3 linked regions of the Canis lupus familiaris genome follow. The protein of the gene in region 3 purifies or fractionates together with the protein of the main gene of each other region. This does not show direct contact. Links are inferred from orthologs where the notes say so. Each region holds a gene or a part of one and is shown on either strand. Other genes may lie near its edges.

The links.
Region 1: the proteins of SLC6A15 (region 3) and KLHL36 purify together in Homo sapiens (co-immunoprecipitation; 3 studies listed by BioGRID and IntAct, counting the BioPlex papers as one, with this or other methods). This does not show direct contact. The link is inferred for Canis lupus familiaris from reciprocal best matches to the Homo sapiens genes SLC6A15 and KLHL36.
Region 2: the proteins of SLC6A15 (region 3) and GPAT3 purify together in Homo sapiens (co-immunoprecipitation; 3 studies listed by BioGRID and IntAct, counting the BioPlex papers as one, with this or other methods). This does not show direct contact. The link is inferred for Canis lupus familiaris from reciprocal best matches to the Homo sapiens genes SLC6A15 and GPAT3.

Annotation. Positions count from the first base shown.
Region 1 is NC_049226.1:68,331,397-68,335,049, reverse strand, and holds part of KLHL36 (kelch-like protein 36), read left to right. Parts: intron 1-1,285; coding exon 1,286-1,443; intron 1,444-3,582; coding exon 3,583-3,653.
Region 2 is NC_049253.1:32,589,479-32,593,131, reverse strand, and holds part of GPAT3 (glycerol-3-phosphate acyltransferase 3), read left to right. Parts: intron 1-1,449; coding exon 1,450-1,578; intron 1,579-2,310; coding exon 2,311-2,390; intron 2,391-3,653. UniProt on the Homo sapiens protein: Converts glycerol-3-phosphate to 1-acyl-sn-glycerol-3-phosphate (lysophosphatidic acid or LPA) by incorporating an acyl moiety at the sn-1 position of the glycerol backbone.
Region 3 is NC_049236.1:26,752,210-26,755,862, reverse strand, and holds part of SLC6A15 (sodium-dependent neutral amino acid transporter B(0)AT2), read left to right. Parts: intron 1-645; coding exon 646-803; intron 804-1,162; coding exon 1,163-1,289; intron 1,290-2,831; coding exon 2,832-3,013; intron 3,014-3,653.

The sequences.
Region 1 (3,653 bases), on a different chromosome or scaffold from region 3:
TGTGCTGTCTGCCATCCTAGCCTCCAGCCACGTGTGGTGATCAAGCACTTGAAATGTGGCCAGTGGCACTGAAATACTGAGTTCTCGATATTATTTCATCTTTACTAATTTATGTCCGAGTGTAAATGGCCACACGAGCTAATGGCTGCTGCTGGGTGGTGCCGGCCTAGAGATTTGATCCGGGTTAGACAGGGTTCAAACGCTGTTCCCCTGTCTCAGAGTCTCCCTGGAGCTCTCTTTTTTGGAAGGGTTTGGAGCTCGTTTACGGAGGTCACAAAGGCTCACACCTGGTGGTAGCTGTGGCCCTTTGGCAGGTGTGGCAAATTCTGGGAAGCGTGAGTCTTGGCGCCAGACCCGAGTCCACACCCGAGCTTGGCTAGGTTGGAGCTGGGGATTTCAGACTGCTTCCTTGCTCTCCAAGTTTTGGCTCCCGTCTCTAGAAACGGGGTGGGGAGGGTATTGACATTCTGAAGTGAGGGGATGTAGCTCATGGTGGTTGGCCGACACCTGGCATAGACAAGGTGGCTCTTTTCCTCACAAAAGCCTCCCCAGGCCACCACCCTAAAAAACCGGTCTGTCTTTATACTCACACCTCAGTGTTTTTACTTAACTTGATCAGGCTTTATTTTTTTGAGCACAAAACTCAGAATGGACTCCGATGACCTTTCTGTTTTATTCTCAAAAACTAAAAAGCGCCCTCAAAAGTGTAAGTCCCACCACTAGAAAGAGGCTCCCAGCTTTGGAGCTTTGTGGCTGTGGCAGCTAAAGGTATGGTCTCCTCCGGGACTGTGTTCATTTCTGTGTTCTGCCTGAATTATTTTTTAAAAACTGGGGGGGGGGGGGGGGGGAGTCTTCTGGTTTTTAGTTTCCCATTGATTGCTGTCCACACGATAGTGTTAATAGGGTCTGATGTGGGGAGGAGCGAAAGGAAGATGGATTTTTATTCCGGGAAACCACTAAACTGGCAATTCTGAACTGTACTGTGGAACTCGAGTCCACGAGGTCAGCCACATGGCCAGCCATGTGGCCAAACAAGTTAGGGGAACTATGTTCTCGATCCCCTTCTTGGGGACTTGCAACACCTCAAGGGTCTTGCAAGCTCTGAGAAGTCTCATCTCAAGAGCCCCTCTTTCTCTGAGTTTGACTTCCTTCTCCCAAACACACTTGGCCACTGCTTGACCTTCCTGGGCTGTGTGTTCCGGAGGATGCATTTGGGAACTCAGTGCTAGATGTTGATGTTGTCTGAGTATTGAGGAGGGAAGGTACAGGTGTCCCGCCTCCACAGGTGGCCTCCATGAACCAGCGCCGTGTGGATTTCTACCTGGCCTCCATTGAAGACATGCTGGTGGCCGTTGGTGGCCGGAATGAGAATGGAGCTCTTTCTTCGGTGGAGACTTACAGCCCCAAGACCGACTCCTGGTCCTATGTGGCCGGCTTGCCAAGGTGATTGGGGGTGGTTTGTCATGGACTCCTCAAATGTGATGACTTTGTTCACCTCATTTTCTAGATATTTTGGTCTCCAATTCCAGGGGGAAGAAAATCTCCTGGCTTGTAAATAACCATGGGTAGACCATGGGGGCAGAGGGCATGGTGATGACGAGTCAGGGCTCTGGTTTTAGACCATCCAGGCACAAGAGTCAGCTCTGCTGCTAAGGCAAATGTCCCCCAGTTTCTGAGCCTGTTTACTTCCAGAGTTTCAGGGAGAGAGTATTCAGCAGATAGTAAGGCTTTCCCTAGAAATGTCTCTGAGTGTGGGCCTGGGTTCAAGAGATGATGGATCTGTGAGCCGAGCCAGCATTTTCACTCTGCTCTCTTACTTCATCTGTATAGCAGACATGGTAACACTTGCCCTATAGGGCTGTCAGTGTGATATGTTCCTTAGGAGCACCCTCCCACCCACAGCACCCAACACCTGGGGAGTGCCCTGGTGCTCGGAGCTCCTCAGTCTCCCTGCATTGAGGTATGCACTTGGGACCACTGCTCATCATCCTGGATCTAGCAGAAGGTGCTTGCTGTTTATTTTGCTAGTCCCTCGATAGCTGAACCTGCAAGCACGCTTCGTGAACCAGTCTTATGGTGGAATGCAGGCAGCTGTCTTGCATGTGTCCCCAGGAGCTAGAAGGGCATGTGATGTAAGCATTAGATTGTGAATTCTGGTCCTGTTGCTACCCTCTTCGAGTAGAGGTTCCAGGAAGTGGATGGAGTAACATCTCTGACAATAGGCATAGTGGTTCCAAATGGCACGCACCATCCCTGGGCCAGGAGTGACGAGTCCCTTGAGGCTCACAGTGACCTGGTGGGGTGGAGGTAGGCTCCCATATAATTTGTCTCCCAAACCCGGATGGCAGTGAACAGGGAAGGTTGACAGTGTAAATACTGACCGTGTCATAGGCAGACCAAGACCTTTGATCTCCCTGGATTTAGTAGTGTTTTTTATCCTCCCATTTCGCAGATGGAGAAGGGAGCCTTAACGGTAGTGGTAAGAGTATCTGCTGCTCTTTCTCTGGGCCAGCTGGTGGGACTTCCATCCCTAAATACTCCTAACAACCCTGGTTTTATCTTTCTCAACGAGCCTGAGGTGTACAAGGTTGGAGTAAACATAGCCCGAAATGCTATGATCACCAGTGGGTGCATGAACCTGCAGCCTGACCTGAGAGCGGAGGCGCTACACGGTGCCTCCTGGCTCCCTGGGGCTGCCCTCCCAGACATTCCCCACCTGCAGCCACTGCCCACCTCCCCTGTGACCCGCTCTGCACTTAGGTTTTGTAATTTTCTTTTTTGTATTTATACAAACTGCACTTTTCAGAGAAAATTGAAAATCGAGCAGAAAGTATAAATTGTTCCTGTAGACCTTCTCAGAGCGTATTTCCCCCCATTGTTAACATCTCGAAGTAGCCACGCTATGTTTGTTACAACTGATGCACGCAAGTGGCCACGTTGCCCTAACGGAGGCCCAGGCTGAGGGCTCGCTGTCCGTGCTGTATGTTCTGTGGTTCGGGACAGATGTGTGGGGACGCTCATCCACCCTTCCTTACAGTGTCAGAGTAGTTCCACGGCCCTAAGAATCCCTTGTACTCCTCCTGTTCATCCCATCCTCACCACAGGCTCCGCCCACCCTGCACCCTTGAACATTTCACCATCCCTATAGTCTTTTCCAGAATGTGCACGGAGTTGGAATTGTACTTTGTTTCCTTCCCTTTGCTTTATAATTGGATCAGGTGCCTGTGTGTGCCTCAATCCCACAGTGTCCTTGTTTTCAGCTCTTATAGGAAGGATCAGCCCCACAGTCACTGCCACTCCCGAACTGGGGGAGAGTGGAGGTGGGGCTGGGCCCAGGCGGTGTGACTGCTGAGCTGCATACACGTTTACCGCACCCCCCACCCCAACCCCGACTCTGCCATTCTTACCAGCAACAGCTGCTGACCAGTGTGCATGTGGTCTCATCAGATCCCCCACAGCCCACAGCCTCCAAGATTGCAGGTTGTCTCCCTTTCACAGGGGAGAAGCACAAAGCCTCGGCGCCAGCCTGGCACGGCCTTGAGCTCCCTGTCTGTCTCTGTCTGTCCCGCCGTCTCCCCGCAGGTTCACCTACGGCCATGCAGGCACCATCTACAAAGACTTCGTGTACATCTCGGGAGGCCACGACTACCAGA
Region 2 (3,653 bases), on a different chromosome or scaffold from region 3:
TTACATATTGCAAAATGATTACTACTGTAGTTTTAGCAAACACCTCCATCACATCACACAATTCCTATTTCATTTTTATGATGAGAACATTTCAGATCTATTCTTTTAGCAGCTTTCAAGTATATAATACAGTATTACTATCTATAGTCACCATGCTGTGCATTAGGTCCCCAGAACTTATTTATCTCAGAACTGAAAGTTTGTAGTCTTTGACCAGCATCTCCCCAATTCCTCCACTGTGCCCTCTCTCCTCCTCAGCCCCTGGAAACCATAATCCTAGTCTCTGTTTCTATCAGTTCAGCTTTTTTTAGATTCTGTGTATAAGTAGTACTATCTAGTACTTATCTTTCTCTGTCTGACTTACGCTACTTAGCAAAATGCTTTCAAGGTCCATCTATGTTGTCACAGGTGTTAGGATTCCTTCTTTCTCACGGCTAAATAATATTCCACTCTCAATATATACCACATCTCTTTTTGCCTGTTCATCTGTTGAGAGGCACTTAGGTTGTTTCCAAATCTTGGCTCTTGTGAATAATATGCTGCAATGAACTTGAGGGTACAGTTATCTATTTAAGATCTTGTTTTCATTTCCATTGGGTATATTCCTGAAAGCGGGATTACTGGATCATAGGGTAGTTCCATTTTTTATTTTTTTGAAGACTCTCTCATACTATTTTCTCTAGTAACTGTATTGATATATATCCGTACCAATAGTGCATCAGGGCATATGTTTTTTTCCTTTTTAAAATCTGTTCTACATACTGGGATTCTGCATTAGATGTGACTTAAAGAAAATGATTTGTAATTTGTTGCTAAACCAGAATGTTTAGAAACCACAACTTTAGTTAAACTTGCTCAGTTTGTAAACTGAATCTTGGAGATGTTATGTAATTTGCCTTATAGTCACACAGTTAGTTGGTGGAAAAATTGTGATGTCATTATATTAAAGTTATTTAGCCAACCAACATATTCAAGAGACCTATTGTGTAATAGGATCTTCCTCAAGGCATTTGTGTACTCTTTACTCAGATTCACCGACTGTTTACATTTTTGCCCTATTTGCTTGATCATTCTCTCTCTCTGGATATGTTTACAGATAGGAACCAGGGGACTGTCTGCCAGGCATTGTATTAAGTGCCAAGGACACAGTAATAGGCAAAATAGTTACTGTGACTACTTTCACTCACCTTCAAGGGAGACAGATATTTAAGACCCATGTGGATAACTCTCTAACTATAGCACTCTGGGACTCAGGTCAGAGAAGTTAGTGGGCCTGGTTTACTTTATTTATTTATTTATTTTTAACTCATCTCTATCAAGCAAAGTCGTTTCTCTTTCTCTTGGGGTCTGATAAAGATGTTTAGCTTGTCACCTTGGAAACACTGACATGGATAAAAGAAGCCACCACTTAGTTCATAACTGGGATGTATTTTCTTTTCTTTTTCTCAGTATAATCCTCAGTTTGGGGATGCATTTTGGAACAGTAGTAAATACAACATGGTGAGCTACCTGCTTCGAATGATGACCAGCTGGGCAATCGTCTGTGACGTGTGGTACATGCCCCCCATGAGCAGAGAGGTATTCATAGATAACAACTAGTCTTTGGTGCTTTATCCAGTCAGATCAAGGCAAGGAAACTTTTACCTGAAATCCTGGGTGCCTTCCTTCTTCACATTAGCTAGAGCTGGACTTGCTTTCTTAGCAAATGAGTCATTAAAAAATAGTATTTAACTTTTTAAAATCAGGCTATTTTATATTCAGGGACTCTTTTCCATAATAGTTTTTAATATTGCTGTTGGTTTAGTGAATCTACAGATATTACGGAATGTGATGTGTTGGATAAGACTAATAAAGATCATAAATATATACACAAGATACAAAATCAAACAATACAGCACTTCATTTTCTTGATAGAACAAATGATATTTGCTATGATTGAGAATAGAACTGAGCTAAAATATGAATCTTATTTTCTTTTTTTAAGAGAGAGACAGAAAGAGCAAGAAGGCATGCACATGTTGTGGGGAGCAGAGGGAGAGGGAGAGAGAATCGTAAGCAGGCTTCACACCCAGTGCAGAGCCCCACGTATGGCTCAATCTCAAAGCCCTGAGATCTTGACCTGAGCTGAAATCAAGATTTGGATGCTTAACCGACTGAGTCACCCAGGCGCCCCGAATCTTACATTCTAAAGCAAATCTAAATGACTCTGAGAGCTTTTTTTTTTTTTTTTTTTTTTTGACTCTGAGAGCTTTTAAGAGTTATTTGAAAGCTCTGTTCTCAGGAAGTACTTGTAATTTCCTTTTTCCCCAGGAAGGAGAAGATGCCGTCCAGTTTGCCAACAGGGTTAAGTCTGCTATTGCTGTGCAAGGAGGATTGACTGAGCTTCCCTGGTAAGGCAGTTTGCAGAAGTACTATCTTTTTTTTTTTTTTTTTTAGTGAAAAAAATCTATTTTAATAATGTCATTGATTGTGGTAGTCAACCAGAGGTGTAGCTGAAAACGACAGTGGTTTACATAGAATAACAACAGCTTAAATCTGGTCGAAGTTTAGCCCTCTTCCTTAAACGTGGGTGGTGAAGGCTGGTATAACAGGTCATTCCATATGCTTCCATCCTCAGTGTGCTTCCACTCGAGGGTTCAGGATGGTGGCTTCAGTGCTGCTCCACACCTATAGAAAATGGCCAGCAGGAAAGAATTAAAACAAGGACACACCTTTGTGTGTGAGCACAAGGTAGAAGTTGGGCATGCCACTTCCATGTCTACCCACCAGCTAGACCTCAAGTTATACGATAACAGCTGCACAGAAGGCTGGCGAATGCTGTCTTTGCTCTGGATAGCCATATATCTAGCTAAAACTCAGATACTAAAGAAGAAAATGAGAAAAGATTTGGTGGTGGGGAATGGAGCCTAGGAGCAAGGGGCAACTTATAGGCTTGTTCATATTTTATGCTAGCTGTAACTATATGTATATATACATAAGTTACAGCTAGCATATATATATATATATATATATATATAAGATTTTATTTATTTTTTTATGAGAGACACACAGCAGAGAGAGGCAGAGACAAAGGCACAGGGAGAAGCAGGCTCCCTGCAGGGGGTCTGATGCAAGACTCTATCCCAGAATCCTGGGATCACCATCTGAGCTGGAAGGCAGATGCTCAACCACTGGGCCACCCAGGTGCCCCTAGCTGTAAATATATTAAAGGAAACTTAAAAAAAAAAAAAAGGAAATAAGTGAGATATTTTAGTGATGGAAACTTTGGATTTAATTTTTTGTTTGTTTGAGGGTGGTGGAATGTAGGGGAGTGTCTTAGTCTGCTTGGGCTACCATAACAAACTACCATAGATTGGGTGGCTTATACAATGGAAATCCGCTCATGGTTCTGAAGCCTGGAAGTCTGAGATCAGGGTACCAGCAAGGTCGGTTTCTGGTCAGAGCTCTCTATCCCTTTTGGCTGGCAAATGGCCACCTTCTTGCCTTTGTGTGAGCATGGAGAGAGAGGGAGAGAAGAGAGCAGGCTCACAGGTGTCTCTTCTTTTAGGGGCACTAATTCTACCTTGAGGATTAGTGACCACCTTTATGACCTCATCGAAACCTAATTACTTCCTAAGGTCCCATCACCAGATACCATCATATTGGGGGTTAGG
Region 3 (3,653 bases):
TCTCTCTCTCTCTTAAAAAAAAAGGGAAACAAAAATTCCTGAAATATACTTTTTAAATGAAGTATTTATGAGAAAAAATGATATTTGTCTGATGTAAAAGTTCTTTTTCTTTTCCTATTTTTTTTTTCCTTTTCAGTCTAAGCTGCTATTTCTTCTTCCCTGTTGTTATTTAGGGGAAAAAAGTCAGCTTTAATACTATAAAATTTCATTCATTCTAATTAAACTGATTTGGAATGCATGTTTAGTTGAGTTTGAATGAGATTTAATAAATTACTTCATGAGCATCATATGAATAAGAATTCCAGGAGTTTGTGAAGCCTACTTGAGAAAATAATTAACTTTGAGAAATCAATTATTTTTATGGAAAATGAAGATCTACCCTTCCAATAAAATGAAACTAAAACTTTACATTCTTACTTTTACAATAATTATTTTTTTTTTATCAGAAACTCTTTGTAGCTGTCAAATCCAGGTTTCAAATACTAGAAGGTTTAAAATGATGAAATTGCATATTCTTTCAAGTCCTTTATAATTATACTATAATAGAAGTTCAAATACTGTCTTTTATGAGATATTCAAAATTAGTGTATTCTCTACTGTGACTTTTGAAAATATGATCTATTTCATTTGTTCTTGTCTTTGTAGGTGCATATCTTTTGCCATATTTAATACTGCTTCTGGTAATAGGTATTCCCCTTTTTTTCCTGGAACTTGCTGTGGGTCAAAGAATCCGGCGAGGAAGCATTGGTGTGTGGAATTACATAAGCCCTAAACTGGGTGGCATTGGATTTGCAAGTTGTGTAGTAAGTTTCCTGGTATGGTATATGTTATATAATTTTTACAGGGTTTGTTATTGTATAGTTTGCATTTAAATGAAACCCTTGAGTGTGTATTTCTATTCAACTCTTAACTGTGTTAAAAAAAACACGATTAGTTTGCACTAATACACTATCGAAGCTGTAAATATTAATATAGTTCAATCTTGATAATGCATGTTCCTAAGACCTAAGAGAGACATCTTCTTAGAAAAGATAATGTGTTTCAAATAAAAATGAAATGGGGAGGATTTTTTAACATGTTAAATGGGCCTTTATGCATTTCATCTCATTTCAAAGGAAGGGGCATAGGAAGCATAATGTAATCGCACTATTTTGTTTTGCAGGTGTGCTTTTTTGTGGGTCTCTACTACAATGTCATCATTGGCTGGAGTTTGTTCTATTTTTCTCAATCTTTTCAGCAGCCTCTACCTTGGGATCAATGTCCTTTGGTGAAAAATGCTTCACACACTTGTAAGACATATATCATATCATACAGTGTTTTTTGTTTTTTTTTTTTTTTTGTATATAAAGATCATAAAGTTGCTAAGGGCATGATATTTTGAGATTTTTTTTCTTTTCTGAAAATAATGTAGAAAAATCTTGCAAAATTATCCTAGCAAGCTTTCTTCACTTTTAGGATTGGCATACTTAAAGCAAAGACCTTTGGCACCATCTAATTTTACTAGCTCTTCCCAAGTTATTTTATCATGCCCCACGACATTATGGTAAAATATTACAACCCTTCAGTTGTTAACTTTGACAATTTTTTATTTTGTACACCTTTCTTGATGCCTAATATTTTGATTAAAATAAATAAAATACAACTTCCGGCTATAAAACGAGTAAGTTATGGAGATGAAAAGTACAGCATAAGGAAGATGGTCAATAATACTGTAATAATTATATGGTGACACATGGTAACTAACTACACCTATTGTGGTGAGCATTGTGTCATGTACAGAATTGTAGAATCATTATATTGTACATCAAAATGAATAACATTGTATGTCAACTATACTTCAGTCACACAAATTTTTTTTAAAAGGACCTACAGGTAGTCATAAAGGAGAAAAAAAATATGGGATCCCTGGGTGGCGCAGTGGTTTGGCGCCTGCCTTTGGCCCAGGGCGTGATCCTGGAGACCCGGGATCGAATCCCACATCGGGCTCCCCGTGCATGGAGCCTGCTTCTCCCTCTGCCTATGTCTCTGCCTCTCTCTCTCTCTCTCTGTGACTATCACAAATAAATAAAAATTAAAAAAAATATGTTAAAAAAAAAAGGAGAAAAAAAATAAAAGTAACATAAAAATTAGGGCAAAAAGAATTAGGATTGAAGTAATTGTTTTTATATCTTTAGTTCTGTTTAGTTTTGTTTAGTTTTTCAATCATTTATGTTTAAATTCTAGAACGTAAACAAAGGACAAGTCCCTCTAGTAGTGATGTCCAGTAAACATCAAATGCAACACATATATGTAGTCTAAAATTTACTACTAGCCACACTGAAACAAGTAAGAAATAGGTGAACTATTTTTTCCAAAATATTAACATTTCAACAAATAATTAATAGAAAAATTATTAATGCCCTAATTTACATTGTTTAATTGCACTACGTCTCTAAAATCTTCTGGTATTTTGTATTTATAGTACATGCCACTTTAGACTAGCTTTATTTCAAAAGTCACATCTGACCAGCAGCTAGCATATTTGACAGCTCTGTCCCAGGAAGTCAGTCAGATAATTCTGGGCATTGAAGGGGCTATAAACCTGATGTGTTTTAACTACTTTGATAAAAAGCTTACATATTCCTATTTCAGCGATGTGTAATAAAAAATATCAACAAGAATACATGTCTGTGGATTTTTCACAATTTTGCACAGTTGAGTTTTCATGGTGAACTTAAATGCTTCTGTAGAATAGTGTACTTTTCTATGAAATATTAAGAACTGATTTACAGGTTTACTGGGAGCAGAACAATAACCTAATTACTCTTCCTACTCTGAATTTCTTTCCATAGTTGTAGAGCCAGAATGTGAAAAAAGTTCTGCCACCACCTATTACTGGTACAGAGAAACCCTGAATATTTCCAGTTCCATTTCTGAAAGTGGGGGCTTAAACTGGAAGATGACCGTCTGCTTGCTGGCTGCCTGGGTTGTGGTTTGCTTGGCTATGATCAAAGGCATTCAATCTTCTGGAAAAGTTAGTATGTTAGAGTCCCTCCTGACTCTGCTCCTCACCACTCCTGCGTGTGATGCCCGCCTCAAGCTCTGCTATAAATGTCTGTGGGCAAACTACAAGTATCGTGTCATTCTAGGTAGTTAAATAAAGATTGGTGGAAAGTAGTGCTTTTGAAAGTGTGTTTAAAGAAAGAACATAAGTAAGGACGTGTTTTGTAGTGAAATCTAAAGTCACTTATAATCTTTCCTTGTTTCACCCAAGACATTTTTTGAAATTTTGTGTCATTCCCTAAAAGACCTTCATTTTTGCTGTTCATTCCCTTGACCCTTAGTTCACCAAAGATGAGGGTGAGACATAAATAACAGGACAGTGAGTCATACAGATCAGGGGATGAGCGCCTCATACTCAGACTTGAGAGTGCAGCCCTGCTCTGTTCTGAGGCTGTAGAGCTGGGTCTGAGGCAGCTGGCAAGGGCCTGGGGGTTAGCTCAGCTGGGGGACAGGTGGTGGGGTGGGCAGGGAGGCCACTCTAATGTGAGGCTTTGCAGGTGAGAGAGAGGAATTCACGAGGAATTCACACTTTATTTCAACTGTATGAAAAAATCCCTGGAGTGTGTTAAGTAGGAATAAGATAACATGAGCGGTAGCCTGGAAACTAGGAG